3 linked regions of the Mus musculus genome follow. The protein of the gene in region 2 interacts with the protein of the main gene of each other region in a biochemical or structural test. Links are inferred from orthologs where the notes say so. Each region holds a gene or a part of one and is shown on either strand. Other genes may lie near its edges. The genes, in order: Ago2, Tnrc6a and Cnot1.

Region 1 (10,498 bases), on a different chromosome or scaffold from region 2:
GGCTGTGACCTTCCTAGGGATCTAAGACTGGGGATGCTAACTCTTTGATGGGCATAAGGCAATTTGGAGACGTGTTTGCTCCTAAAAAATCTAGAGGCACCCCCCCCCCCCAGTTGCTTTTTACAGGTAACCCAACCCCCTGACACAGTAAGGCTCAAGGTTGCCTTTTTCCCGTGTACCATGGGGCAAGTATCCCATCTTGAGAAGGGAGCTAGCAGTACTATCTGCTGTGAGGGACACTGGGAGATGCTTCTTATAGGCCAATCTCCAGCTGGACCCAAAAGAGGGACACCTGGAGCCCTTGTCCCCTGCTGACCGTGTCTGTCCACAGGTCGTGGGCAGCATGGACGCACACCCCAACCGCTACTGTGCCACCGTGCGCGTGCAGCAGCACCGACAGGAGATCATCCAGGACCTGGCTGCCATGGTACGAGAGTTGCTCATTCAGTTCTACAAGTCCACCCGCTTCAAGCCCACCCGCATCATCTTCTACCGCGATGGCGTCTCCGAGGGCCAGTTCCAGCAGGTGGGCCGCTCTGCCATCCTCTCTGCCTCTGTCAGTCGGCTGCTCAGAGTGGGAAGGCGGATGGTGGTGGTGTGGTCTGTGTCTTAGGAGGTGTCAGGTCTCAGGATGGGGGAAGGCAGGAGGGAAGTTTTGAATATAGGCCTGGGCAGTGGAGACCTGGGTGAGGATAGAGCCTCAGTCAGGCCAGGGGATATGAAGGCAGACTGGGAATTTTTACCTGCCCTGGGCCTTTCTAAGATCTGAAGTGCTGGAGAATCGACTTACTTGCCTTGACCACAGGCTGAAGACATGCAATAAAGTACATTTGCTTCCTATTTAGGGCAGAAGCTGCAACTTTCTCCTCTTTAGAACAGATATTCATTGCCCTAGGAGTACACTGCCCTGTCTGGTTCAGTTCTTTCTGGCCGAGTCTCTAGTGCTGTGTTCTGCAAGAGCTGTGTTGACAGCTTCCACAATGTACTTACGTGACCTCAAACCCTGTTGCCTCTCGGTCCATCCCCCTGGGCTTTCGATCCTTCCCAGTGCTTCTCCCTTGTAGGAAGGCCGGGCCTGTCATTCTCAGCTCCACTGCTCAGAGTACCAGAATCCCCACAACTTAACTGTCTGCGCTAGAATTCTACATATATTTTTAAAACATTGTAAACTGGTAGAGACTGTTAAATCTGGGCAAGGTCAAGCATGATGGTGCTGCACACCCTTAGTCCTAGCCCTGAGGAGGCAGGGGCAGGTGGATCCAGGCAGGCAGAATAATAAGACTTCGATTCAGATAGGCAGGTAGATAGATAGATAGATAGATAGATAGATAGATAGATAGATAGATAGATACATACATACATACATACATACATACATACATACATACATACATACATAGAGAGAGAGAGAGAGAGGGAGAGAGAGAGAGAGAGAGAGATAGGGCAGAATAATAAGACTTTGATCCAGATTAGACAGACAGACAGATACTGTCCTGCCACAATAAAAAGCCACTATTTCTGGTACTTGTGTATCAAACTCTTCACATGAGGCCTTTAGTACAGGACCCACAGTTGACAGGAGGAAGGAAGGAGCATTGCTGGGTACTGTGCAGTACTGAGCTCAGGGAGTTCTGGTCTGACTCAAGTGAGTGCTTGCTCCATTTGTCTTTCCTTTCCTCTCAGTAAGCAAGCAAGTGGCAACTGTCTCTGCTGCGCAAGCCCATAAGTCTTCAGGAGCATTGAGATCATGATGGATTCCAAGCCAAGCGGTCCCTATGTAGGGACTTGACTATAATTTACTATCAAATCTATATAAGCTAGAGTCAACTAGGCAAAGGGAACCTCCATGAAGAAGTTGTCTCAATCAGATGGCCTGTTGGTGTCATGTCTGTGGGACATCCTCATTTTGCTGTGTGATATAGAAGGCTCAGTCTACTTGGGGCAGCACCGTTCCTAGACAAGTGGGCCTGGGCTGACTGAGAAAGCAAGCTGAAGTGGATATATTGGTGCATGCCTTTAACCTCAGCACTGAGGAGGTAGAAGCAGGTAGATCTCTGAAGTCAGGACAGTCTTGTCTACATAATGAGTTCCAGGCCGGTTAGAATAAACAAAAGCACAAAAGTGTACATAAGCAAGCTAGTTAGCTGAGCAAGCAGCAAGTACTGTTCTTCCATGTTTTCTGTTGTGTTCCTACCCTTCCTTCCCTCAGTGATGGGATGTGGTTTGGAAGTGTGAACTAGGAAACCCTTTTCCTTCCCAAGTTGCTTTGGGCCGGTCTTTTTATCACGGTATCAGAATGAAACTGGGCCAACTGTCGGAAGGCAGAGTGGTATACCTGACCCAGTGCTGGCAAGACTTGGAAAGCCATTCCCAGCGTGCAAGAGGCATCTGACGCCTGCCTTTGTCCTGCAGGTTCTCCACCATGAGCTCCTGGCCATCAGAGAGGCCTGCATCAAGCTGGAGAAGGACTATCAGCCAGGAATCACGTTCATCGTGGTGCAGAAGCGGCACCACACACGCCTCTTCTGCACAGACAAAAATGAGCGGGTGAGTCAGAGCCCCACGGCTGCCACAGTTGATGGGGACCCAGGCTCGGGTGTCTAGCAAGGCTCTGGTGAGGAGGGTCCAAGCACGAAATGTCATGTATCTAATAAATGATGGGAGAGGTGGTTCAGAAATAAATTGCCAGGACTTGTGACGGGGCTCGGGGGGGGGGGGGGGGGTGTCTGGCTTGGTTGGCAGAATGCTGCCTAGCATGTGCTAGGTAAGACCTGGGTTTGATCCCCAGCTTTGCATGAGCTGTGACCCCAGTACCAGGAGGTAGACACAGCAGCATCGAGAATTGAGGTCATCAGTGGCTACAAAATGAGTCTAAGACCCTGCCCCAGAAAGAAAGGATGGGGAGGAGCAGAGAATTGAGAGAAACCAGCCATTGAGGGTGGAGGACTGGGCAGTCAGAGTGTGAAAGGATGGAGTCAGCCTGAGGCTCTCCACAGAGCGTGCCTTTGACTGGGAGCATACACATCTCGCGCGCTCCATCTGGAGAAAGGTAAGGGTCCCCAGACATGCGTGTACGTGTGTGCGGGTGTCCACGTGTAGAGACCAAAAGACAAACATAAAATGTCATCCTTAGGATAGGCAGGATGACCAGCAAGCCCTGGGAATCCTGTTTGTGCCTTTGCAACCCCGGGATTGTAAGAGTGCCACCGCACTTGGTGTGTTTATGTGGCTTCTTGGGTATAAATTTAGGCCTTTGTGCTCACGTGGCATAGCAGGCACTGTGCTGACTGAGCCGTCTCCCAAGACCCCAAAACATAAGCTCTGCATTTCTAACAGCACAATGAGGCACACATCCATGTATAAAGACAGCAGCTTGAGAGACATAGGCTGTCTAGAAGGGCAAGACCTCAAGTTGTCTACCAGACCTTGAACCCAGCGCTGTGGGTCCAGACCCCTCAGGCCTGGGATCACCACATTGTTGCAAGACGGTCATTGCAGTTCAGCTTTGCCCAATGGCCTCCAGTGTAGCCCAGTGTGTGTTTGTAAGTGTTGTGAAGTGACTGAGGTATAACTTGCCACAAAGAAAGAAACCACTTACCAGTAAACACTGCAGCTGAGGTCTCCAATGGCCCCAGTGTTGCATCCTAAAATGATGTAAAGAGGAAAAAAAAATCACAACAGCAAAAGCTTGCAGGATTTCAAAGGGAAATTGACAAATACAGTGTCATGGGTGGATGTTGTGACACACCTCTGTTGGAACCTGAACCAGGCAGGAATGAGTGGGAGGGGCCAGAAGAGCTGCAGGTGCTGGATTCACATGGAAGGACAAGAAGTCTCAGGTGGTTTCCAAACCTTGATCTCATAGAAACCATATGTTTTGATCATTATGCAAATGAAGTTTAAGAATGCTTGACACTATCGCTTTGCTGCCTGCCGCTCATGCATTAAAGATAGAAAGGAGACGACAGAGCACTCACAGCTGAACAAAACCGAAAGGTTTCATACCAGCTCAGCTCAGCCTGGAGACTCGAGTGCATTTATTATAAGATGAGAAATGGCCCTGCAGACCATGAAGGGAAGCTGTGGCGCCTGAAGCTGGGTCCCTTTGCAGCTCCGTGTCTGTTGCTACAGGTATTACTGCCTGCAGGCAGCTCTCCTCCCTAGACCAGGCAATAATGAGGAAGCAGATTCAATCTGCCTCCTTGGATGCCCGGGAGGAGGGAGAAGATGCGCTCTGGGGAAGCAGGCGGCATCAATTTCCTTGGATGGTGACACTTAGCCAGGGAAGTCTGAAACGTGCCACAAATGCTTATGGAGTTAGGTATATTTACAAAATCATCTCTGGAACTAAACCCAAAAATTCTTTTTTAAAAGCTACCCATGCCAAAAGTCTTGGGATCCAGAAAGCTTATGGGCAGGCAGGTTTCCCACACAGACCTTCAGCTCTGAATCCTCACAAAATGTGGCGGAAAACAGTCAAAGGAGTTCTGTACTCTGAATATTAGTATTAGTCTTGGCTTTATGGTGGTCAGAAGAGGATGTCAGGTAGCTCCCTCCCTCTGACACTGAAACTTGTGGGTGGCTGAGAGCAAGCGTGTGGGTCTGGACACCCATTCAGTCCTCTGCAAGAGCAGCAAGTGCTCTTCACCACGGAGCCGTCGCCCCAGTTCCTAGTTACAGAGTTATTTTATGAGGTTAGTTTGCAGGCAAGTTTCAGCAACCCTTCAAGGAGTAATGTTTTGTTACGACCTGTGATATCACAAGTCTGCAGTCCTAGCTTCCAGGGGCTAAGGCAGGAGAGACATCAGTTCAGGAGTAGACTTGGGTGTAGGACAGAGGCCTTTCTTGGAAAGCAGACAAACAAAAACTTGTGCAGTTTAGAAAAGAGTGAATTTTGCACAGATTTGGGCACATGACACTGAAATCCAGGACAGAGGGTCTGAGTTGTGTCTCCATCTGTTTCCCTGGACCTGCCCACAAGAATAGACTATTGGGAGGACTGACCAAAGGGCATAGCACTCGGTCCCTGGTGTGTTTATTGTTAAAAAGGAAGTGCCAGGGATGGGAGTTCAGATCCGTAAGCAGCCAGGAACACAAAACTGACAGTTGTCCATTCCCTGAGTGCTCTGGGAGATTTTGTGTAGGAATTGTTTAGCTGGGCATAGTGACACAAGCCTGCCGTCCCAGCATGCAGGAGGCTGAAACAGGAGGATTATCTTGAGTAGAGTCCAATCTCAGTGAGCTCTGGTCCAACCTGGGCTGCTACAGTGTGAGAGCGTGTCTATAAATACATAATAGAAGGATTTATGGCATTATTATTGCTTGTGCTAGCAAGAAAAGTAAAAAGTAGCCATACCCGGGTGGGGGGGGGTTTCTCCCTCTTTCTTCCTCTTCCTCTCACTCCCCCTCCCTGTCTCCCTTATTCTTTCTCCTCTCTCTAGTTGAAATATTAGGCTGATGGTGGTAGTGTACAGTTCACTTCCAGCACTTAGAAGGTGGAGGTGGAAGCATAAGGAGTTGGTCTCATCCTTAGCCTCATAGAGAATTGGAACCTAGCCTATGTGATTGGAGCCTGTTCAGACAGGGCCTTCAGTAAACAGACTGTGCTTGACTGTAGCATCAGGATACAGTGTGAACAATAACTCTAGCCCAAGTTAAGCTGTGGAGATCGTTGGTACTTACCAGATTTTGTCTGTGCTGAGAAACGGGTGTTCCCGCTGACACACTGCCACAGCTGATGAGCCCTCTGTGCTGTTGCAGGTTGGGAAGAGTGGGAACATTCCCGCAGGCACAACCGTGGACACGAAGATCACCCACCCCACTGAGTTTGACTTCTACCTGTGCAGTCACGCCGGCATCCAGGTGAGGCGGCAGGCTCCTTTGACTGCCTGGGATGTTTTGTGGCTCTGCAGACAGGGCTCAAGCTTGCTCTGTGGCCAGGAGAGCTGGGCACTCACCTGGGGTCCAGAAGAGATAGGAAGGGACCAGTGTAGAAGTGGGTGTGGTGAGACCAAGATGTAAGGAATAGTGATCTGAAAGGCCAAGGGATACAGCGTGTTCTGTGCTGACCGCTAGTGAGCTAAAAGGTGGGACTGACTGCAGGAGCTGCAGCGGTGGGGCCTGGAGGGGCTCACGTTCAGCTAGCTGTGTGCTGACCACCAAGAAAATGCTAGGACAAGGAAGTACTGGGATGCTCCTCAGCAGAATCATGCCATCTTACCGATGGTAGAGTGAGGTCTTTGAAGACTGGTTAATAGTGGCGGGGAGGAAGGGAGGTGCCAGCAGTATTTCTGCTGGGTACATCAAATATTCTCAACTCCCACTTTCTGGATGTTAATATGTAGCTTTGATGGGAGATTTTTTTTTTCTTTTGGTATTATAAATAAAATACTATAGAATACCTAGCATACCCAGAGGGCGTTGTCTTTGGCTCAGCTCCTTCTAAAATGTTTTTTTTATTGCCTCATCAAATGCATATTTATGGGGTGTGATGTGCAATGTGATTTTTAGCACATGTATCACACCTCTGATGACAGGGCTTCAGACTTTGACCAGTTCTCTGTATTGGGACATTAAACATCCTCTCTGCTGGCTCTCTTGAGTCTTGGCCACATTTAATGTTACTCATCGAGCTGGGTGTAGTGATGTAGGAAGCTGAGGCAGAAGGATAGCCTAAACTAATGCTGCAAGGCTTGGAGGGAGGGAGGGAGAAAGGGAGGGAGGGAGGGAGGGAGGGAGGGACAGATGATTCTTCAAGCCTCCCAAGTGCTAGGATCCCAGGCATGTGCCACCATGCCTGCCTTAATAGGAATGCTTGTTCTTGGTAAGGTCTTATGGTGCGTCTTTCTTGGCCCTCTAATCTCTTCCAGGGGACAAGCCGTCCTTCCCACTACCACGTGCTTTGGGATGACAATCGTTTTTCTTCTGATGAGCTGCAGATTCTGACCTACCAGCTGTGTCACACCTACGTGCGCTGCACACGCTCTGTGTCAATACCCGCGCCAGCTTACTATGCTCACCTGGTGGCCTTCCGAGCCAGGTACCACCTGGTGGATAAAGAACATGACAGGTGAGTGTCGCACCTGGCAGGGGGTTAAGACGAGGCTGGCTTCTCAGGGGCTGTGATGGTTGCTTTCCATACACGTCTGGTCCCAGTGCCTTGCTTGGTATCCAGGAAAGACTGCATCCTTTTCCTCTTCTCTCCCATGTCTCTGCAGCGCTGAAGGAAGCCATACCTCTGGGCAGAGCAACGGGCGAGATCACCAAGCGCTGGCCAAGGCGGTCCAGGTCCACCAGGACACACTGCGCACCATGTACTTTGCTTGACCTGTTGTATTGTTTAGCGATTGTGTACCAAGTTGGATTCACACGAGACCAGCTACACTCAGACCAACAGATGCCCAGCCCTTCTGTGACAGCCAGCATCGAACATGAGACGTCTTTGGTTTTATTAGATCCTCCGTTTTCCAGAATGCCTTCCGTCCCAGATGTCAGACTTGGATTTTGAGCTGCAGGCCTGTATGAGACCCCAGTGTAGGAAACATGGTTTGCCAAACCTATAAGCTGCTCACTGAGAGTCCCGTTTCCTAAAAACAAAACAACAACAAAATGTCCTAAAACCAGTCTATGAACTCTCAGGGCTTTAAAACACTTTAATTTATTTGGTCATCCAATTTACTTGTTTTTAACACCTGATTCTCACTGAAACCGATGGGCTCCATCTAGCTGTGAAGGCTCTGAGCATGAAAGCCACACCATTTCCATTGGGGTTTTAAAGCCTGGCCCTAAGAAGTTGTCACTAATGTTGAGTTCTAAGGGATGCCATGCGCCCTGCAGCCCCAGGGCGTATGGCTGCTAGGTCTCCACAGTGTCTCTCGAGGTCACTGCCTGCCCTCGAGGCCTGAACAAAGGCACAGTGGCCAAGGAGATGGTCACGTGTGTTTACGGCAGTGACAAGTCCGAGAGATTGGCAGACAAGTGCCATTTTGATAAAAATTTATTTAAAAAGAGAAAAAAAGACAATATACTGACAGTCTAATCATAAGATTTGTCCTGTAGGACTGTGACATTTATTTTCCAAAGTTTCTAAAGAATACGGGTCTGTGGTGATAAATACAGTACAATCCTTTTTCACTGTTAATGTCTTTAATGTAAGAGAAGAATATATGTATCTGGTTTGCAGTATTAATGTGGTAGGTAGATGCTGTTTCCCTTTCGTTGACGAGGGGCGCTTCTTGTGACCTGCTTCACATATCAGGAGCTGTGTGGAGCCTGGAGACAGTCCACCTCTTGTGGCTTTTAGTGCTTAAGTAGAGGAATATGCAACTGGCTTCATGTACCAGCGATGCCCCCTCCTCCCTCCCCACCCCCAGTGTGGACTGTGTAGCCTGTACCTCTGGAAGGACAGTGCGCTTGCCAGTAACCTGCCGTCCTCCCTGCCTCGTCCATGTGTGTCGCTCAGCCGATGAAGCACAAATGGAATTTATTTATTCTTCCATTGCTGGGAAACAAGTTCACGTAAGAGTGCACTTCTCTCAGTGTGCAGTTATGGAAGGTGGGTTTCATAGGATCTATGCACTGAAGTGGAGAGAGAGCTGCCCATAGCGGCTCTGCCAGCATGGGACTGGCAGGTAGGAATGGACTGTGCCCGAGGACCTGACCGTGGGCAAGGCCAGCAGGGAAGGCACAGACTTTCTCTGGGTGTTGTTTGCTTCTGGGCCCCAGTGTGGGTTTTCCAGCCCAGAGACCATTGAACTGAGAAGGGGCCACTACGAGTGGCTCTGCGGATGGCAGCAGCCACGTCAGTGTGTGTGTCCTGTGGGGCTTTCTGTGCTTGTCCCGAAGCTGAGCAAGCATCGGGCTCGCTCCGTTCCACATACGCGTGCGTTCCCAGAAGGAGACGAGCCTTCTCTTGTGTGCTGCTCTGTGCTCTGTGGGTTTTTTCTACCCCTGCTGATGGGCCTCATCCCCCAGCTCTGCGTCATTTACCTCTGACCCTGTGGAGGAGGGAGGGTGCCCACCCTCTCCCCTGCCATGGCACCTCATGCTAGAGGACACAGTACCACCTTTGCCCCGTTCCCCATCTGCTCTGGAGCTGGTGGGAAGGGCAGACGCAGTTACCTGGGAAGTCACACCCTCAGCAGGTGTGTGTATCCGTGTATGCATGTGGGTGTCTTACTAATGACAATAGTCTCTTCTTGCTGTGTCTTTAGAAATCTTTTAAAGTAACAGGACCCCCCCTCCCCCCCAGTCTAAGAAGCACTGGGACTGCCTGCTATCCCATTGGCAAGTGGCACCTTCTCAAACTGTTTCCAAAACGATAGAAAAACACTCAGTTGGCCTAACATGGTCAGGCTAGGGAACTGGTTAAACTAGTGAACTTTTAGAATCTGAAATTGGATTGTTTTCAACCATTCTTAGAACCGCGTGTTTCTAAGGTGTGTCTTCAGCCCCTTGCCATGGGATCTTAGTCATGCAAGTGAGTTTTTTAGAATGCAGATTCTCACCTGCTGCCAGCTTCTTGGATCTGGCACTGTGTTCGAGGCCACCCCTCAACCCCCACCGTGGCTCTGTAGGCGCTTTCTGAGGCCGTCCCCCCTTATGATGCCAGGGGGACAGGAAGGAACCCCTATCAGAGCTCACACCTAGGAACACTTGTGGGCTGGGGCAAAAAATCTTGAGCTGGGAGTTTTGTTTTGATCACCTTGAAGGATAGGTTTTCTTTCTGATGGGCCAAAGTACTGGAAGCAAAGTACTTTCTGTAGTAGCCCATGCTTACTTGTGACACTTTTAATATGAAATGTATCCCCAGACCAAATGTCCCTAATTGAGTTAGATACACACCATTTACATGTCTGATGGTGCAGAGCTCATAAATGGCTATAGTTCCAATTTCTCAGGTAAATAATTTTCCCCAATTCCCGCCCTCCCCTTATTATTAAGATTAGTTTCGAGACAGTGTGAGACCTCAGAGTGCGGTAGCAGCTCCGGCCATCTTCTGCAGGAGCCAGCTTTTTGTGTGTATCTGTACCCAAGACTGGTGACAGGTGCCGTTTTCTCCTGAGGTGATACCTGGCCAAGTTTGACGACTGCCCACTTGCTAGCTGTGTTCCCAACCCCACTGTTAAGTAAGGTGTGCCTTGCTTTAAGCAAACTGAATGTGATTGTGTTGTGCTCTGTATCCATTTGGAAGGAAAACTAGGATGTGCCTGTCTCTTTAAGAGAGGCTACCCAATTAGCCTTTCATGGTGGGACTCTCCTAGTAGTACACTGTAAGATACTCACTCTTAAAAACCCATCATGACATCCATCCCTTTACCACTGTGTGCACCATGCAGCAGGTCCCTCCCTCCCCAAGCTGATGAAGCAATGCAAAACTCTAGAGAGACATCGAGGCCCCATTCCATAGATTTAGCCCTTAGTGATACTAGCAAAACTCCCACCCTGTCACTGCGTGTTTTAAGCCCAGATTCTCCTAGTCCCCATCAAGTCTGAAACC
Region 2 (9,954 bases):
TACTGCTTTTTCTCTTGCATCTTCATAGAGTGTACTGGGCAGGTTGGCGTCCATTTCCCTGATGGGAAGCTTTGCTGTAGAAGAGGCTGATGTTGTAGCTGGCTCACATTTATTTCACCATCACATTGTTCTTTTTAGGTGCTATTTCAAGTGGTTTTAGGCTGGAAGAGTCTCCATTTGTTCCCTATGACTTTATGAATAGCAGTACTTCACCAGCCAGTCCTCCAGGTTCAATAGGAGATGGCTGGCCACGTGCCAAATCGCCTAACGGCTCTAGCAGTGTTAACTGGCCACCAGGTAAGATGCTTACAGCCTCTCCATGTCTGGTCTCAGCCATAGCTTAACAGGGTTCTGTGATCAGAAGCGCTGATGTGATGCAGTGGAGAGGCGAGCTTGAACTTGGGGCATTGGCTGCATGCTCCAGTTTTCTGTTCCACACAGTGATGGTGGATGAACTCACCACTGGTGTGAAGAGTCTCTTGGAGAGACTGTGTCAGAGGAGAGACTGTGTCTGTCAGAGGAGAGACTGTGTCTGTCAGAGGAGAGACTGTGTCTGTCAGAGGAGAGACTGTGTCTGTCAGAGGAGAGACTGTGTCAGAGGAGAGACTGTGTCAGAGGAGAGACTGTGTCAGAGGAGAGACTGTGTCAGAGGAGAGACTGTGTCAAGGACTCATTTGACACTGAGGGTCACCAGAGCTGCATCTCTGGCCTGCTTGAGTTGCTGCAGTGCTGAAAAGATGTAAACTCAGAGCAATTATTTCAGTTGTGTAAATAAGCAAGTTAGTAATGGATTAGGAGTGTGTAATACTTACTATGTTGTTACCAGCCTGGCCTTTTAGGGTGTTGTCACACAGAGTTTAGAGATGAATGTGTGGCTATTTAATTTGGATTTTAAAGCTGTGCACTGATTTTGAATTTGTATTTGCAGAATTTCGCCCTGGTGAACCATGGAAAGGTTATCCAAACATTGACCCTGAAACTGACCCTTACGTCACTCCTGGCAGTGTCATAAACAGTCTTTCAATTAATACTGTGCGGGAAGTTGACCACCTCAGGGACAGGAACAGTGGTACGTGGGGCATGGGCTGGTGTGAGAATGCTGTGCAGCAGTGTGGGATGATAACAGGTCAGGATGGCCTGGCCCTGACCCTCACCTGGGCAGGTGACCTTCACCTCACAGGTGAAGGGGCACAGGACAGCCCCTTCAATCCATTCTGCACTCCATTTAGATGCACTGACCCTTCCATTAGAAACTTGTGGTCGTAGCTCTTTTTTTAATATAAAATCTAATGTTTTGACTTTCAGAACATTCTTTCCATAAAGAACCAGTTTCTATAAACAACTAACTTTTCTATAGCTCCTTTTCAGCCTGGCCTGTGCCTTACTATCTTCTGCTGAATTGGCTTTCATGGCCTCTACGTAGCTCTTTGGTAGATTCTGCCATTTCAGAATGACACGATTCTTCACTTAGCATTATGATATGACAAACACTTGCTACCTTAATAAGCTGTGTATCAGTAAAGACTGTTAGCCCTTTTACATTCTTTGTAAATTACTAAAAGGGATAGAAAGGAGAATATATTTTACACACACATACAAAAAAATCAATTATTTTAGTGTTTCAGTAACTTTTTATTAATCTTTCTTCTAGGACAAAACAATGGAAAAAATATTCACATATGCCTATGGTAAAAAACAGCCCCATGGTAGTCATAGGGTTATTTCACCTGACAACCCTTTAGAAAGTACATACGTTTCACAGTGAGAACCTTGAAATCCCAGGCAGGCAGGCAGGCAGGCTGTTTGTCCTGGGGAAGCCGGTCAACATTCCAAGTGTAAATGAAGTATACAACTGGCAGTGGCTAACATTTTAAAAAGAAAGCTATGACCACAAGTTTCTAGTGGAAGGGTCAATGCATCTAAATGGAGTGCAGAATGGACAGTAGGGACTGTCCTGGTGCCCAGGTGAGGGTCAGGGCTAGGCCAAGACTAAAGAGAATATGTTAACTACAGAGCCCAAATATGGAGAAGGCTGAAGGCTCTTGGGTACTGCCTGTGACGGGCTGCCTTGATGACCTGTCTTGCCAGTACATAGTCATTGCTGTTCAGAGTGAAGAGCTAGAGCAAAAGCAGCCTCTTTAGTGCTGCAAGGAGAGCCTGGCTCATCTAGCCACTGCACACTCTAGGGGATCAAGAAGGAAATGCCTATTCTGAGCCAGGGCAGAACCAGTCAGCAGAAAGGAAGCTGCTATCTTGGGCCCTATCTTTAATTCAGATGCTTTCAACTCCTATCTTGAGGATGCTGTGGCCCTGCAGCTTCCTAAACCCCATGCCCTGCTCTGCTCATTGACTCTCTTCTGCAGGGTCATCCTCATCCTTGAACACCACGCTGCCTTCAACTAGTGCCTGGTCATCCATTCGTGCCTCCAACTACAATGTTCCCCTCAGCAGTACAGCACAAAGCACTTCAGGTGGGCGCTCTCAGAAACCGCCAGCCTGGGGCTTCCCCTCTGCTGCCTTCTCAGGTTGTTGGGGGAGGGTTTGTGATCCTATCCAAGTATTGCAAACATCATGTCTCTCCTTTGAAAAGCAGTCTACATTTAGCACACAGCTCTCTGCCATCTAAGCCACCTCAGCCCTGTGATAAAGCACCATTGAATCCAGAGTCTTCTGAAAGCCACTTGTACTCGCTCTTTATTCTCAATCCTCCAGACTGATAGCTCTATAGGATGTGGGAGGTGGGAGGTGGGAGGTACTGTATGATGCTGTGCCCCCGCAGTGAACTCGAAGGCTAGAGCCCTGGGCTTCAGTGTGCATCTGCTGCAGCTCAGGAATACTCTGCTGTGGCCAGCCTTCCTGCAGCCACACTTGGAGGAGCCTTGGTCTAATGGCCAGGTACTTTGTAATAACTCAGGTCTGAATGCTCAAGAGCTGCTGAAGACCTTCCCACCCCTTTCTCTTCCCGTCTTTTAGCACTCTTTGACATAGTTGCCTCTCTCCCCATGAGTGTTGTGTGGCACCACCTTGCTAACTTGGAATAACTGCTATAGCCTTTCTTCTGGGAGGAAATGATGAGCTTAAAATGTCTGTGGCCTGTGTCTCTCTTGAGTGGACCAGTTGGCCAGGAGTCCACGTGTGTATCTTATAGTCTGTGTTGTAATCTCGGAGAGCAGTTCTCTGCTTGCATAGTCTCAGGACAGTATCAGGTGAGGGCCCAAGTCCTGAGGAAGATTGCCAGCTCTGGACTCTTTGTCTTTCTCTGTAGGCCTTTACCTAGATTTAGGGGTTTTGGTAGTTTTTGTTTATTTAACTCACTTTTCATGGGACAGTGAATATTATTGTGGGAATTTTCTCTTTCTAACATTATCCCACCTTCTTCAATTTTTCTTATTTTCTTTCTCCCCCTTCTCCTTTGAGTAGCCAGAAATAGTGATTCCAAATTGACGTGGTCTCCTGGTTCAGTTACAAACACCTCTCTGGCTCATGAGCTGTGGAAAGTCCCTTTGCCACCTAAAAACATCACTGCTCCGTCCCGCCCACCTCCGGGGCTGACTGGTCAGAAGCCACCCTTGTCTACGTGGGATAATTCTCCCCTTCGTGTAGGTGGAGGATGGGGAAATTCTGATGCCAGATATACCCCAGGTAAGACACGATAGCTGTGGTGCTTGATTGTGGACCAACACTGTGAGCTGCGGGGTCACACTCTGTAAAGGCAGAGTGAGCTTGAGCAGAATTGTAGTTCATCTCTACCTTTTATAATTTTCTTATCTTTAGGAGTCTTGATTAATTTCCTTAAGAATGTTTAGCCAACCTGTATGGTAGTGCATGCCTGAAATCCTAGCCCAGGGGTAGTGAAGGCAGGAGCAGTAAGTATGAGGATGTTGGTGTCATCTGTACATGAGACCCTGGAGACCTTGTCTAAATAAGTAAGAATGCTTACGCAAAGCAGTGCTAGTGGGGTCTCTTCTCAGAAACTCCTTAGGAACGCTTGCTTTTTGTTGTCTGTCTGTCTGTTTCTGTTCTTTTGTTTGAATGGTTTTGGTTTTGGGGAAAGGGTTTCTCTGAGTAGCTCTGGCGGGTCTTGGAACTCACTCTGTAGACCAGGCTGGCATGAAACTCACTGAGATCCACCTGCCTCTGCCTCCCAAGTGCTGGGATTAAACGTGTGCACCCCCTCAGCCCTAAGGGAATGCATCTTAAAAGGTCTGTTTGTTTCCTAACTCATGGCTGGCTTGCAGAACAAGACTGGTACATGGAAAATTAAGCTGGAGAGAGAAGATAGAGATTGGGCTTGTTTTGGTAGTAGCTTGGCCCATCCCAAGAATGACCATGGCTAGGCGGTGGTGGCACACGCCTTTAATCCCAGCACTTGGGAGGCAGAGGCAGGCAGATTTCTGAGTCTGAGGTCAGCCTGGTCTACAGAGTGAGTTCCAGGACAGCCAGAGCTACACAGAGAAACCCTGTCTCAAAAACAAACAAACAAACAAACAAGAATCACCATGAAGTTTACTGTTTAGGCAGACATTTGAAAGCGTAAGTGGGTGCTATTGACCCCTAAGGTCAAGCAGACATAGGGCCCAGTGACATACTGTGAAATACCTGTAAGGTGTCACGGGGCCAGGTGCTTCTTAATCATGTTTAGATGTTACTTTCTAAAGGAGAGGGATTGCCTTAGGCTCATGCAGGAAAGGCTCAGTGGAGAACTCACTCAGTAACCTAGACAAAATCAAAAGATACCTGATGCCAAACAGTTCAGTGCCCTTAAAGGTACTTGTCTTAGGGACAGATGCAGAAAGGCTTACCTGAGGCCTGCCCTTGGGCACCGTTTGGAAGTAGTTTACCCTAAATGGAAAGATGCCATGGAATAGAGGCACCTGAAGGTAGGGCTCAGCACCTGATCCAGGCTGGAGCAAGCTGATATCACAGATCTTTGTTGCATGAGGGGAAAGTAGGCAAAAGAGAAAGGAGCCCAGATTCCCGAGGACTGAGATTAGCTGTCGTTTGATTGGCTGTACTTGTCTTAAACAGTCATTCAGGCAGAGCTGTAGAGTGCTGACTGCTTGCTCTTTATTCAGGCTCCAGCTGGGGTGAGAGCAGCTCAGGGAGAATAACCAATTGGCTTGTTCTGAAGAACCTCACACCTCAGGTAAGGAGGCACCCGCTCAGTGCATACAGTGGGCTGGGGAGAGCTATGCGCTCCAAACAGGCCTGACACTGCTCATCAAGGCCAGGCAGAGGGTGACACTTCGCTGCCTCTAGTCTGATCCAGTGGTTTTCATGCTGTTATGTTTAGGGCAGCACAGTAATGCAGATACCTATGTCTCACCCAGTACTGAGTGGTGCTGGGCTTTGCAAGTGTGGCTTTGTGGGATTATATTACCCCTCCAGAGAGCTTGGTCTACTCTTTCCTAAGTATTTTCTTAGGAGGCTACTCTCCCACTCGTAGGGAGCAGTGTCTTGAGGTTCTGTCATGGAGTAGGTGGGGGAAGACATGAAGCCGTGCCTGGGGTGATGACTCATCGCCTAGCTCTAGCCCACTGCATATAAGGAAGAGGCACTGAACCTGGCATGAGAAGGAGGTACCTTCCAATGGCTCTCACAATGGAGGCCCTAACCGCAGCCTGCTCTGTCTAGATTGATGGCTCAACTCTGCGCACCCTGTGCATGCAGCATGGCCCACTGATTACATTCCATCTGAACCTCCCACATGGAAATGCTCTGGTCCGTTACAGTTCAAAAGAAGAGGTAGTGAAGGCACAAAAGTCTCTGCACATGTAAGTTGCCCCAAGACTCCTGATGGGGAGGGGAGAGGCTGGGAGAGCTGAGAGTAAAAGCCCAACCCAAGACCCCTGTGTAGACCTGGTTAATGTGGACCAGGAGAGACTTAGGCGGAGGGATAACTTGAGCCTAGGCGTTGAAGGCTACTTCAGAAAATAGAACGTGACCTTAGATCCTGGAGAAGCCCTTGTGTTGCCTATGGGAGGCAGACCTGGTCTAGATGCCCCATAACCCCTTCTGGAACATTCACTCTGGGCATGGAGCAGGCCAGGCTCCTTCTGCACCTCCTTGGTTTTCTCTCGGAGCAGGTCACACTGCTAGTTGAGCTTATGAAGCCATGCATCTAGAAGACCTCATGTTGTGCCCTCTCCTCTAGGTGTGTGCTGGGGAACACTACTATTCTCGCTGAGTTTGCCAGTGAAGAGGAGATCAGTCGCTTCTTTGCACAAAGTCAGTCTCTGACCCCTTCTCCTGGCTGGCAGTCTCTCGGGTCCAGCCAGAGCCGGCTGGGCTCTCTCGACTGTTCCCACTCGTTCTCCAGCCGGACTGATGTCAATCACTGGAATGGTGCTGGGCTGTCGGGAGCTAACTGTGGAGACCTTCACGGCACTTCCCTCTGGGGGACCCCACATTATTCCACAAGCCTGTGGGGTCCCCCGAGCAGCGACCCCCGGGGAATTAGCAGCCCATCCCCCATTAATGCTTTTCTTTCTGTTGACCACCTGGGTGGGGGTGGGGAGTCCATGTAATGGCATAGGTATAGACGTAAACTGTGACCTCACGAAGAGAAGGAAAGGAGCACTAAGTTGGGCTCGCCGCCTGCAGCCAGGGCACCTGTGGGAACAGCTGTTTTCTGCACATTCTCCACTTTGTTTTCCCCAAAACATATCAGTTTGAATACTTGAATCATGCAGGCCAATATTATAATGTGAAAGGGTATCTATCTATTTACACTCCCAAACAGCGCCATACAGCTACCGTGTGGAATGAGCTCACTTGTGTATTCATCATGTTTAGCCTTCGGATTCCTTCTTTCCTCCATTTCCATCCCCATCCCCACCTTTTATTTTTATTTGTATTTTTTGCAAAACCGTTTTGGGGCTGACGTATGAGCTTTTACCTTTGCACTGAGTGATGTTCTCCGTCTAATCGGCAATATGGGGGCAGCTGTTCCAGTGTAGATGTTTACTCAAGGGTGTTCTCAAGGCGTGCGCTCTCTACTATGCCTCATGTTGCCTACCTTAGTGTGGTATCGTGGAGTTGAAAAGATCAAGTTAAGATACTGACGTAGGATTCTTAATGAAAGTATTGCACCAGTTTTTTCATGTTGTAAAACTAAAGAATTTCGCTCTACAGTTTGAGAAACTGTGGCCACCGCTGTGACCTGCAGCCCGCCTGCTGCCCAGGACGGGCCCTGCACTTTGAACAGGCTTTCCATGTTGTTTTGAAGGTTCCCACGGTGAACCTTCTTGTTTACAGATTTTTTTGTTTGTTTTTTGAGAAAAAAAATGTTTACTCTTCCATCATTTAAAAAAAAAAAATTAAAAGACAAAAAAAAAAAAAAAGGAGGGTGGTTTAAAAGACGCTTCTATCTCTGGGAAAAGAGCAGCAGTTGGCCATGTTCTTCTGTTTTCTATTCCTGTCCTAAATCAAAGAGCATGGTTCTCAGGAAACCAGTTCCCCGGTCAAAAAATCTTGTAGTTTCTTATAGGAAAGAAGAAAACCCAACTTTTAGCACTGATACTACGTATTGCTCTGTTCAACATTTTCTCTGCCAAAAAAAGAAAAAAAAAAAAAAAAGAAAAGAAAAAAGAAAAAAACGCGCTTCGAGCTGGAGTTGCCGTCTGCTTTCAGATGCTGTCCTTTAGTAGTGAGTGATGATGGTTTGCTAATCGCTAGGTGACTTTTGTAACCCCATCAGTGGCTCTCATGTCTCTGCTCTCTTGTGACTGTGTTCATGTTTAACTGTTGTACCTTAAAGCCGAGATCAGTAACTATGCATACTGTAACCAAGACATTGGGCTTACAGAGTTGTTTGTTGTATAAAAAATTTTAAATGTTGTTGCAAACTAACGAGTTACACCATTTTAAAATTTCTTTCCTCCCTAGCCCCTGTTGTTTTGCCCACAAATGGTATTATAATGCTTGCTTAGTCAAAGAGAGACTAAACAAGGGTAAACTTTTAACAGTACAGAATACGCCATCATTTCATTGCCTTGATTCTAACTGTTTGTGTCCTAAGATGCAAAAGAGGTCAGTGGCTTTTAACTGTTTACAATAGGATGTGATTGTAAATGTACAGTTTGGTTGTGTTTGAATTATGAAATCTTCAAATAATAAACCATGACTTTTTGGCTGCTCAACATTAATTGTCTCTTTTTTGTGGATTTATTTGTAGGCTCTTTTATAATGAAAGTTACAAAGTTGCTGCATGTGAGAGTTCTTCTCATAGAGCGGCAGATTAAAAATCTAAGCAAATATTTGAACATTTTACCTGAACTTGTCCACAATCACCCTGAGATAATGTGAGAACAGTGGGAACTGTAGCTTGCTCCTCCTCCCCTGAGCATCTGTGGGAGCTTGTTGTTGCCCAAAGCTCTTCTCTGGCTTCACCTTCCCCACCATCTGTGCCCATCTCAAGCCTCAGCGGGACCATTGGGACACGAAGCTGACTGCCGTGACAGCGTCCTAGTGTTAACCTCTCATACCTCACACAGTGGGGATGCCACCACCTGGACTGGCCTCTCTTCCCTGTGCCCTTCGCCCCTCCTCACTGAAGGAGCTCTGGGCACAGAACCTGTATGACTTCAAATCACGCTCCACTTGCCAGGTGTAAGCTAATGTTGGACACCGTAACCTAAGCAAATGTTTAATGCATTCGGTGTGTGTTGATGTCCATACTGGTTTTTCCAAAAACCAAAGGTAGCTTTGAAAAACCATGTGTGGAGATGTTTGGACCGTTAAGCTGAGTGACCGTTTGGGGCTTTGAGTAGTATATATCTGACTTCATGACTTCGTTAATTGTATTGTTAAAAGTGTTTGGGAGTTTTTTTGCGCTTGTTATGTGGAAATAAAGTGTTTGATTTAAAAAATATTTTAAGTGGTTTTGCTTTTTGCCTTATTAATAACTGCTGCTTTCTTATCCCCATTGTCTCCAAATCCCAGGTGTCATTGGGACCTCCCTCTTAGCCTTCCCTTCCCACAGGCCTGTGTCTGACAGAGCTCCCCACTCCTTGGGGCCTTTGTGAGTGAGCCTGAACTGACTCGTGCAGCGGCTCAGGCCTAGGGCAGTGTGCTCCTGCCTACACTTCAGCCAGAAGCTGCCCTGCAGTCTCTCTTCAGTGTCCACTGATCCGGAGCTCTGGGGTGTTACAGAGGGTGATTCTTAGAGCTGGAACTCCAATAAACCCAAAAGCCCCTGACATGACTAGAGTTTGGGCCAAAATGAGCTCTGGATAGCATTTGCATGAAACAGCGCCATAGAACACCGTGCCTCAAAACTGCACCCCACCCCCACCCCCCCAGTCTCTCCAGTTAGAGGAAGAAGAGTGTGAGCCACTTTCTGGCTCCACTCCTCCAACTATGTTCTGGGGATACCCAGCTCCACAAAAAGTTGTTAAGCTTTTATTTATTTTAAGATAGATTGATTTTATGTATGTGAGTACACTGTTGATTTCTTAAGACACCCCAGAAGAGAGCATCAGGTCCCATTACAGATGGTTGAGAGCCATGTGGTTACTGGGAATTGAACTCGGGGCCTCTGGAAGAGCAGCCAGTGCTCTTAATCTCTGAGCCATCTCTCCAGCCCCTGGCCTTTATTTTCTTACATCTATGTGTGGTGCACACATCCATGCCAGAGGAAGACATTGGGTGTGCTCACTACTCTCCGTTATGCTCACAATACACTGTCTCCCTTACAGCCTCTGCCAGGACCCACAGGCCTACTTAAACTGACCATAATGCCAAGCAGTGGTGGCACACACCTTTAATCCCAACACTTGGGAGACAGAGGCAGGTGGATTTCTGATTTCGATACCAGCCCGGTCTACAGAGTGAGTTCCAGGATAGCCAGGCTCAAAACAAAAGAAGTTGACCACAGCTCATAGTGTTCCATCCCTTTAATCCTGGTGCTCTGGAGGCAGAGGCAGATGGACCTCTGAGTTAAGGCCACGTTGG
Region 3 (10,498 bases), on a different chromosome or scaffold from region 2:
TTTGAGGATTGTCTTAACCATGTTGATTGGTTGTTCCCACTGTAGATGCACCAACAAGGAATACTTAAAACTGATGACCTCATAACAAGGTTTTTTCGTCTTTGCACTGAAATGTGTGTTGAAATCAGTTACCGTGCTCAGGCGGAGCAGCAGCACAATCCTGCGGCTAACCCTACCATGATCCGGGCCAAGTGCTACCACAACCTGGATGCCTTTGTCCGCCTCATTGCACTGTTAGTGAAGCACTCTGGGGAGGCCACCAACACTGTCACAAAGATCAACCTGCTCAATAAGGTCTGGAATCCTTTCTTGACTTGCGGGTTATTGTGTTCTCTGATCCATTGTAGTGTCTCTCTCTCTCTCTCTCTCTCACACACACACACACACACACACACACACACACACACACACACACACCATTGTTTGAGACAAGGTCTCACTGTAGCCCTGGCTGGCCTGGAACCCAATTTGTGGACAAGGCTGTCTTCAGAATCCACCTTCCCCTGCCCGTGAGGTGCCGTGATTGAAGGGCATGCACCCCCACACCCAACCCCCAAATCTTTTTCATCTGGAAATGAAATAGAAGAGATAGTATCCATATATTGTGTAGCAGAATTTAGAAGAGGGAGATGCAGTTGGTGTGTTGGTGTTTTGATGATGATCTAAACAAGAGATTGTGGTAGCTGGTACACTCCGGCCTCCACTCATGTCTGGATGGGTCACTAGGAATGGCATTTGATTAATTATTGACCCGATTTAGACAGCGTGAATCATGAAAATTTGAATATCAAACTAGTGCAAGACTGTAAACCTTGACTGTAGTTTTGTCTGTGGAGAAATACAAGTGGGTCATTACTATCCCTGCACTTATCGTTGAGAACCCACACTTCTGCCAAGCAAAGTGGGAATCGTTGCCCCGTTGGGTCACATTAGACAGTCTAGCCTTGTTAGAGCTCAACATGATGAAATGTGGAGAGACGTCCAGGTTTCTATACCTTTAGAAAAGCCAGTGGCCTTTATTGAGAATATAGAAGTTTGGTCCAGTAACAAATTTAAAAAACAAAACAAGACAGAAAATCTAATTTCCCTTTTGCTGGCTGCCAGCATAGAAATTTGTGTCTAAACAGCATGTATCCTTTCCTTTATTGTTTGTAGTGCTTACAGAGTTCAGGGTAAATAAGCCACTGCTGGTAGTGCAGGCCTGACTGAGTGAGGAGGTAAGAACATCACATGGAACTTGTAAGTTCAAAGCCAGTTTTTGGACAGCTTAGTGAGACTTTGTGCAAAGTTTTGGTTTTTTTGTTTGTTTTGTTTTTGTTTTCTTAAAAGCCTGACTATAATATTCAAGTGTTAAGTACTCAGCATTTGGGAGGGCCTAGGTTCAATCCAAGACACAGGTAAAAGTGACAAGTGGCTTATCTGTGTGGTTGATGGGATGTAATCTGTATGTTCTGTATAGGTTCTCGGTATAGTAGTGGGAGTTCTCCTACAGGATCATGATGTTCGGCAGAGTGAATTTCAGCAACTTCCGTACCATAGGATTTTTATCATGCTGCTGTTGGAGCTCAATGCACCCGAGCATGTGTTGGAAACCATTAATTTCCAGACTCTTACTGCTTTCTGGTGAGTGTTGTGTATAGTAGAGATTTCTATTTGTTATTTTATACAGGGTCTCATAGCTCAGGTTTGATCTCAAAAGTTCCTGTATTGTTGAGGCTGGCCTTGAACTCCCAATTCGAGCGTCCAAGAGTTGGAATTGCAGGCACACACCCCAACACCCAACTTAATGGTTGATTTTTGTAGGTGTCAGAGGTTGTGCTGGGATCACAGGCAGTACTTTGCTGAAATTTCAGGGCTGTTGGTTAAGTGAGGTAAAAGTCAGGTAGAACTTTGATGTTTTGATGTGTTTCATTGTAAAGTCTACATGTGTTTACTATATTTCAATTTGTGGTTCTGAATTTTTTTTTTTTTCAGCAATACATTCCACATCTTGAGACCTACTAAAGCTCCTGGCTTTGTATATGCTTGGCTCGAATTGATTTCCCATCGGATCTTTATTGCAAGAATGCTGGCACATACGCCACAGCAGAAGGTGTGGCTGCAGTTTATCTCCTACAGATGAAGCCTGTAACTACCTGGGGCTTTCTAGCACTATTTATGTCAATTTTATTAGTCACTTAGTAGTAGAAGAGGCTTAGGCTTATCAAGTACTTGACTGCATCTGAAGGCTTTGTTGGGTGACCAGGTATTGCTTTTCTAGCTTTGCTATGGACCAGGTATGCCAGTCTCTCTATGCTGGAGTTAACAGTATTTCAGAGGAGTTTGTCACTGCAGTAAATGGCAAAGGAGTACTGCATATAATAAGTACCCTCATCTGACCAGAAGAAAATTGTGTTGAAAGTGAAGTAGCCTCTTAATGAATTTGTCTTCTGGTTTCCAAATGCAATCCATGGCACACAGACACATGCATGGTGTGCACACAAAAAGAATGAACTAGAATTTGTGTGGTTGGTGATACTGTAGTAAGGAGGCCACTTGGGGCTGAAAGTACAGAATTGAGGCTCTGAGTTCAGCAAGGTTATTTACTACAGGACTTAAAGAAGGAATTATGGCAAGCAGCCTGTAGCTGGTTTGATACTACTTCTGCAATTTCCTCAGGGTATTCTCCTTTCTTTTTAGTTTTCTTATAGGCACAAAGTTAAATATTTTCCAAAGTCTCTGGAGTCCTGTTGTTTTAGATAACATTATCCACTACTGTAATACTTGGACTTTTTGTTTTGTTGGATATTTATGTTTCTGGCTGGCTTGGAACTTAAGTTTTCCTCCTCAGCCTCCGGTGTGGCAGGTAGGGTTATGGACACGCCCACCACACTGAGCTGATGCTTCATTTTGCTAGGATCCAATCTAGGAGAGGCCCTCGTGTCAGGTTACTATAGATAAGATGCAGTAGAGACGGGCAAGTTTGTAGTAGCCAAACAACTTGTAAATGTTACTACAACTTATGTATATTTCTTTCTTTTAGGGGTGGCCTATGTATGCTCAGCTGTTGATTGATTTATTCAAATATTTAGCACCTTTCCTTAGAAATGTGGAACTCACTAAACCTATGCAAATCCTCTACAAGGTAATTTTTATTTATAAATAACTTAAAAGTGTTTTTATATGGGAACTATTGTTGATATGCTTTTACAGAATCATTTGATACTCAGAGGCCCGACTTAAGGATACTCTAGTGGCACTCTAGTGCATCTACCAATGTACCTTTTCAATGGAAAGTTGTTCTCTCATCTTTTGTATATCTCTTGCACTGCACTCCCAACCCCCAACCACCACCATCCTAGCCATTTGCTACAATCTCACTGGGGAATTTAACTTCTATTTCCTTAATGTTTTCTTGTTTAACTTTTTTGGTAGATTATTTTATGTGTATGACTTTTGCTTTCCTGTCTGCTTTCGTGCATTTATGTGCACCACATGTGTGCCTGGTGCTCAGAGAATAAAGAGGAGGATGTTGGATTCCCAGGAACTGGATACAGATAGTTGAGAGCCACCGTGTGGGTGCTAGGAAGCAAACCCCGATCCTCTGCAAGAGCAGCAAGTGTTTTAACTGCAGGGTCATCTTGGCAGGGATGTTTAGTTTTTTGAAGCGGAGCTTCACTATTTAGTCCTGATTTACCTAAAACTCAGAGTTCCTCCTGACTCTTTCTCACTCTTGTTAAAAGCATGCGCTATCTCACCTTCTTTTTTTTTTTTTTTTTTTTTTTTATTATTATTATTATATCTAAGTACACTGTAGCTGTCTTCAGATGCACCAGGAAAGGGCATCAGATCTCATTACGGATGGTTGTGAGCCACCATGTGGTTGCTGGGATTTGAACTCAGGACCTTCGGAAGAGCAGTCAGTGCTCTTAACCACTGAGCCATCTCTCCAGCCCCGCTATCTCACCTTCTTAGTGAGATTTTCATTTATAGATGTATCTTTTTGTCATGTTCCTTCCAGTGTTTGCTCATGTTCCCCATGTTTTTTGTTTTGTTATGCATTTTTATAATTTGACTTTATTTTTCCATAGCACTGGGGATAAAACTTAGGGCCTTCTTAAATATACTAGGCTATCTCAAGTTGCTAAGGTGTTCTTCCTATCTATATATCAGAATTGTTGAATTTACCGAACTTGTTAAAAACTAAAAAAGGCTAGCTTTGATCCCATCCCCATTTTCAGTAGTTTTCTTGTTAGTTTGCCTTTTCACTTTTGTTAGTCCTCTTTCTAGTTTCTGAAGATAAATGTGGCAGCATTGGTGTTTGCAGAATATTTGTGTGCTTCATTTAAGGCTTCAGCTCCAAAAGCTAATTTTTTCATGATTTCTGCATGTAACTTTTTTATAATCTTAACTGCATGTATTAATTAAAGCCTATAGGTTTTGTTGTTTTTAATGTTAATAAAATATACTTTTGCTATTTTCGACAATGGAGGAAAAACTACTGCTTTTTTAGTATGGAACTTTTCCGTTTGTATGCAGGGTACTCTGAGAGTGCTGCTGGTTCTTTTGCATGATTTCCCAGAGTTCCTTTGTGATTACCATTATGGGTTCTGTGATGTGATCCCTCCTAATTGTATCCAGTTAAGAAATTTGATCCTGAGTGCCTTCCCAAGAAACATGAGGCTCCCAGACCCATTCACTCCTAATCTGAAGGTAAAGTTTTAGCAGATGGGACACGTTTGTTTTGTTTTGCCATTGCTTTACTGGGGATTTAACTTTTACTTCCTTAATGTTTTCTTGATTTATTTTTTGTTTTTTAAAGTTTTCCTCCCTTAGATTGATTTTATGTGTGTATGTTTGAGTTCATGTGCAGCAGATGCCTGTGGGACCTACAGAGGCAATAAGGTAGTGTGGGTCCATGGAACTAGAGTCTGAGATGATCGTGAGCTGCCATGTGGGTACTGGGAACTGGACTCTTAGAGAGCAGCCAGCGCTCTTACCATCTTTCCTAAAGGAAAATTTTTTATCTTACCATTTCAGCCCCTTCTCTGATCATCAGTATATTTAGTCCCCCTCTCTCCAGCGTGCACACACTTTAGGTACTGATACTTTTAGGGTAGCTGATGATGAGGGTGATACTGTCGTTGAATATTAGTTCACTGTTTTCTCATATTTTTAACATGGTTTAATTATCAAACCCCAGACTGAATGGTAGGCAGTTGCTGGTCCCACACTGCATAATTGAAGAACAAAGTGATCTTTGTAATGTCTATAGCTCACAAGTTTTCATGTGCATGTGTTGAAATTATTTAAGGAAGACGAACCGCTTAAAAATCATACCACCAAGTAGCCTTTTAACTTTGCTTGTAGCTCTTCTTTTTTAAGGTCCTTTCTTAAACATTTTAAAGCATATATTTGTCTGGGGCTTCTTTCAGTGGCTGGGACTCTTGGTAGTAATCTCCTGTACTGATTTGAAATCTGATCGGCCATGGCGGCGCACGCCTTTAATCCCAGCACTTGGGAGGCAGGGGCAGGCGGATTTCTGAGTTAGAGGCCAGCTTGGTCTACAAAGTGAGTTCCAGGACAGCCAGGGCTACAGAGAGCCCCTGTCTCGAAAAACCAAACCAAACAAACAAATAAGAAATGTAAGGTTGGAAAAAATGGTTAATGGTGCAAATTAGATGGGCACAAAATATTCTTTAATTTCTTTTTTTTAAGAGTTTATTTATTAAATATAAGTACACTGTAGCTGTCTTCAGACATTCCAGAAGAGGGAGTCAGATCTTGTTACGGATGGTTGTGAGCCACCGTGTGGTTGCTGGGATTTGAACTCTGGACCTCTGGAAGAGCAGTCAGTGCCATCTCTTTCAGCCATCTCTCCAACCCCTAATTTCTTTTCAAATAATGAGAAACAGCTAACATTGTGTGACAAGAAAAGGTGGATTTGTAGTAATCACAGTCTATGTGTATGTATAGTTTTAGAACGTCATCATAACACGTCTGTGAAGGGGAAGGGCTTGTTAACATCTGTGATTGATTGTGATTCTTGGGATGTGTGGCAGGTGGACATGTTAAGCGAAATTAACATCGCACCTCGGATCCTCACCAATTTCACTGGAGTGATGCCGCCTCAGTTCAAAAAGGATTTGGATTCTTATCTTAAAACTCGGTCGCCGGTCACTTTCCTGTCTGATCTGCGTAGTAACCTACAGGTCAGTTGATTTGACTTAAGTTCTTTGCTGTGTCTTTTGTAGAGTGCAGTTTGTGTGCACTGTCTATCTATGTCCCATTTTCATATTAGTATTTTTTTAAAAGATTTATTTATTTATTATATATAAGTACACCATAGTTGTCTTCAGACAACCCAGAAGAGATTCAGTTATCATTACAGATGGTTGTGAGCCACCATGTGGTTGCTGGGATTTGAACTCAGGGCCTTCGGAAGAGCAGTCAGTGCTCTTAACCACTGAGCCGTCTCTCCAGCCCTCAGATTAGTATTTTAAAGCTGATGTAGAAACATTGAAGCTGAATGTGGCAGTCCATACCTGTTAGTTTAGCACAGAGGAGACTGGGGCAGACAGGTGACAAGCTTGTGGCCACCTTAGAGCAAGACCTCATCCCTGGACATCCATCCCCAGATTTAAGTATTGTTGTAATTGTTCATTGGGTTAGCTTACCTGAGTCACACACTGTACTAATAGTTCGTCCTTGACCCAGTTATAGATGAGACCACTATGGAAAAAAACATTACTTTCCTGCAAGACCTGACAGCATTTCTAGAGTGATTATAGTTAAATTTCCTTTATGGAGTGACTTGAAGTGGAATTGGCTCTGCAGAGTTAGCATAGAATGCAACAACTTCTTTCTCTAAATTATATATGGTTGAGGTTGTGCTTGAAATTTATTTTATAGCTGTATCATGAGCAAAAGTATTTGGTTTTCCAAAGGAACACGTCTTCTAGTAGAATCACTCTGAGGGCAGCTGCACATTTGTACAGCTCACAATCTTGAACAAGTTTCTTATATGTAAATATCAACAGCTACCTATCCCTTTCAGAGAAAGGAGGCTTGAGAAACAGCAGTGCTGCCCAGCACAGTGGTGCTCACCTTTCTTCAACCCCAGCATGGGGAGCACAGGCCTAGCCATCTCTGCGTTTGAATCTAGCCAGAGCTGCACTGTGAGATCCCGTCTCTGGAAAAAATAATGAAATATTAAGTGTTATTCATAGTTCTATGGTAACGTTTTCTCTTTGCCCATTTAGGTATCTAATGAGCCCGGGAATCGCTACAACCTCCAGCTTATCAATGCATTGGTGCTCTACGTAGGGACTCAGGCTATCGCACACATCCACAACAAGGGCAGCACGCCCTCAATGAGCACCATCACCCACTCAGCACACATGGACATCTTCCAGAACCTGGCTGTGGACCTAGACACTGAGGGTGAGTGCAGCAGCTGGCCATTGGCATCATCAGAGACTCTGTACTTTGCCACAGATATAATCGAAAGAATCTAGAAATTTCCTTTAAGCTACAATAAGGAATGCTTAAGAAAATGGCCCCAAATCTTATCCTGTGAGTAAAGATGGTATGCCAGAGTGCAATAAGTGGGAAATAAGTATGTTCTTTTTGATAGCCTACATCTGAAGGTCGGACTACATTGCTTCATACATAAGTTTGTCTTTACCAACAATTACTAGGGTCTGCTTGACAGGGAACAGAACACATTAGTGAGTGTAAGAAGATAATGGGCCAGAGCTTGCTGTTCCTCTGTAGGAAATGTACAGGGCACGTCGCTGTGGTGTCTCCTGCGCTGTTTGTTTCAGTGGTCAAGATTCAGAATCCCCAGCTTAGTGCTAAAGAAGCTCTGCTCGTTGTTTTGTTTGCTTGTTTTTCTCTTAGAAATTCATGACCTCATTTTTATTGTTACTCCATGCATATATGTGCATGTATATACACACATTTTGGGGGTGGGGGGCTAACCTTTTCTGTTTTATCAGCCACATGTGTAGTTTTGTCTGCAGGAGGTGGGGGTGGTTTTGAAGATTGAGCAGCTCATGCTTCAGTCCAGATCCACTACTTATGTTCACAGTTTTTATGCTCCTGCCAGAAGTCTTAGCGTTTGCTTTGAACTTGGTCTTCAGGGCATCCCTCGCTGCTTTGGCACTGATCTAGGACTACCAGATGTAGCTGAATCCAGTCTGTTGCTAGTATGCCACCATGATGTTAGGAGTGGGGCATGTCAGGAGGAACTGCTAGATCACTTGAGACTACTAATATATTTTACAGTATAAGCTGCTCAGGCTGTATAATTGTTACCTGTGCATATGTTTCAGGGCTGGCCATTTGGTATTGGATAGCCAGTTGCTGTTCTCATCTTTGAGAAGACAAGACTGTTTTTTTCTACTCTGAGCATTTCTTGGTTGCCTGTAGTTTTTTGTGTAGAATTGAGGCCTCATGTTACGTCCTTTAGACAAGTGTTTAAGAGTCTTTGTGATCAATGGTACAAACAAGATAATCAAATACAGATAAGAGATCTATTGCCACCTGAGCATGGTGGGAGATTCTGGATTTGAAACTTTCTCTCCAATTATTCTACCAAAGTACTTTTCAGAGTATAAGGATCATTAGGGGCAAGAGTCTTATAAGGGCTTTGAGGTTAGGACTGTTTTTGTCAGAGGAAGACATTGCCTTCATTATGTTTATTTCATGTGTACAATTTTTCAAGTACTACATGAAATAAAATGTTTTAAGTAGTTGGATGTTGAGACAATGCAGATTAGCTTTCCATTGTTGTGTAGGATCAAGATTTTCAGTAAAAATTTTTTTAAAGAATGTAAGGTATTTTGCTGATTCATAATATGGATTGCAAATAACGCCTACAGAAGCAAAAAAAAAGTTCATATCCAGAAAACCAATAGTAAATCGCAAAATTAGAATAATACTCAGTTTGCCCAAGGCCCACCATGCTAGATTATGTCTGACTGATGGTATCAGTCCCCCTAAGAAACCAAAGCCTAAGGAAACTCATTTGTCTCTCATACTGGCCTTTCAGAGCAAATCCTAAATCTAGTTTCCCTAATTTCTAGGCCGATATCTCTTCTTAAATGCAATTGCGAACCAGCTACGGTACCCAAACAGCCACACTCACTACTTCAGCTGCACAATGTTGTACCTTTTTGCTGAGGCGAACACTGAGGCAATCCAGGAACAGATCACAAGGTGAGAGATGTACTGTCATGATGCCTTAAAGGGGCTCTTTTCTCCTGTATTCTGACTGTCCTGAAATTCACTCCGTAGACCAGGCTGGTTCAAACTTGGGGATCCAACTGTTTCTGCCTCCTGAGTGCTGGGATGGATGGTGTGCACCACCACTGACTGCTTCCGCTGTATTCTGAATGAGTTCTGTGCATTCCCAGTTTCGCTGTGTTATTATGCTGAGCCATGTCTAAGGAATTACAAAACAAGTTGATAATGGACAGTGGTTTGCTTTGAAATGCTGGGTACTAGTTTACAATAAAAGCAACATTAGTTTCTTGGTGGTAGCTGTGGCAGTAATGTTTTTTATCCAGAATCTTGTTGACATTTTTGTGTACTTCATGTTTTTAAGGTTTTAAAGGGAAACAGTAGGGTCATACTGTTTGTTTAAACTGTATAGGATTGGATATTAGTGCACAATATAGTGGGGTGTACATACAGACTTGTACTTTACCTCTTCGCCCAACTAAATACTTGTGCCAGTTTCAGCAGCAAAGGCCTTAATCTTTGCCACCAGGAAACAAAAAAGTTTAAGAACAAAGATTTGGTACTAGCCAGCACTTGTCATGTAGGAAAAATTTCACCTATTTTCATATGCTAAATTCTGAGTGCATTCAGGGAAAGGGGCAATGAAGGCATAGTTGTGAATTTGTTTTTAATGTATTAACTAACTCTTCTATACCCCTTTTTAGGGTTCTCTTGGAACGGTTGATTGTAAATAGGCCACATCCTTGGGGTCTTCTTATCACCTTCATTGAGCTGATTAAAAACCCAGCATTTAAGTTCTGGAACCATGAATTTGTACACTGTGCCCCAGAGATTGAAAAGTGAGTTAAAATGTTAATTACCAAGCAGGGAGACAGAAAAGAATGTGTCTAATTTGGGTCTGTGAGTTAAAAGGGCAGTTATAGCTAATTCAGATTAAGAGATCTTTAGGCTTAAAGTTTGTTGTGAAGTTAATTGGTGCTTGTCTCCACTTCTTAGGTTATTTCAGTCTGTTGCACAGTGCTGCATGGGACAGAAGCAGGCTCAGCAAGTGATGGAGGGGACCGGTGCCAGTTAGATGAACTGTGTATATCCCTTGCAGATGCATCAGCCTTGGTCCGCTGAACCAAGTTCATAAACTGAAGATTCCTCCTGACTTTCCTAGCCCTTTGGTTCTCAGGGGTCTGCCCCACCAACTGCTGGGGTTGATCTCCTGTCTATGTGGGCAAGTTCCAAAGTTTAAATGCATTTTTTTTTTGACTCTTGGCCAAAATTT

What was found.
Region 1: the proteins of Tnrc6a (region 2) and Ago2 form a complex in vitro, tested with the Homo sapiens proteins (2 studies listed by BioGRID). The link is inferred for Mus musculus from reciprocal best matches to the Homo sapiens genes TNRC6A and AGO2.
Region 3: the proteins of Tnrc6a (region 2) and Cnot1 form a complex in vitro, tested with the Homo sapiens proteins (2 studies listed by BioGRID). The link is inferred for Mus musculus from reciprocal best matches to the Homo sapiens genes TNRC6A and CNOT1.

The regions. Positions count from the first base shown.
Region 1 is NC_000081.6:73,103,736-73,114,233, reverse strand, and holds part of Ago2 (protein argonaute-2), read left to right. Parts: exon of another isoform or gene 1-331; coding exon 332-526; exon of another isoform or gene 527-682; intron 683-2,412; coding exon 2,413-2,547; intron 2,548-3,598; exon of another isoform or gene 3,599-5,760; coding exon 5,761-5,862; intron 5,863-6,869; coding exon 6,870-7,069; intron 7,070-7,217; coding exon 7,218-7,326; 3' UTR 7,327-10,498.
Region 2 is NC_000073.6:123,186,425-123,196,378, forward strand, and holds the end of Tnrc6a (trinucleotide repeat-containing gene 6A protein), read left to right. Parts: intron 1-138; coding exon 139-297; intron 298-928; coding exon 929-1,069; intron 1,070-2,363; coding exon 2,364-2,471; intron 2,472-3,420; coding exon 3,421-3,642; intron 3,643-5,075; coding exon 5,076-5,146; intron 5,147-5,634; coding exon 5,635-5,774; intron 5,775-6,154; coding exon 6,155-6,527; 3' UTR 6,528-8,872; downstream 8,873-9,954.
Region 3 is NC_000074.6:95,720,209-95,730,706, reverse strand, and holds part of Cnot1 (CCR4-NOT transcription complex subunit 1), read left to right. Parts: intron 1-45; coding exon 46-294; intron 295-1,459; coding exon 1,460-1,623; intron 1,624-1,974; coding exon 1,975-2,092; exon of another isoform or gene 2,093-2,127; intron 2,128-3,022; coding exon 3,023-3,124; intron 3,125-4,518; coding exon 4,519-4,692; intron 4,693-6,041; coding exon 6,042-6,191; intron 6,192-7,241; coding exon 7,242-7,422; intron 7,423-9,068; coding exon 9,069-9,201; exon of another isoform or gene 9,202-9,268; coding exon of another isoform or gene 9,269-9,427; intron 9,428-9,929; coding exon 9,930-10,064; intron 10,065-10,221; coding exon 10,222-10,300; 3' UTR 10,301-10,498. Other genes in the region: N-lysine methyltransferase SETD6, read right to left, coding at 9,269-9,427.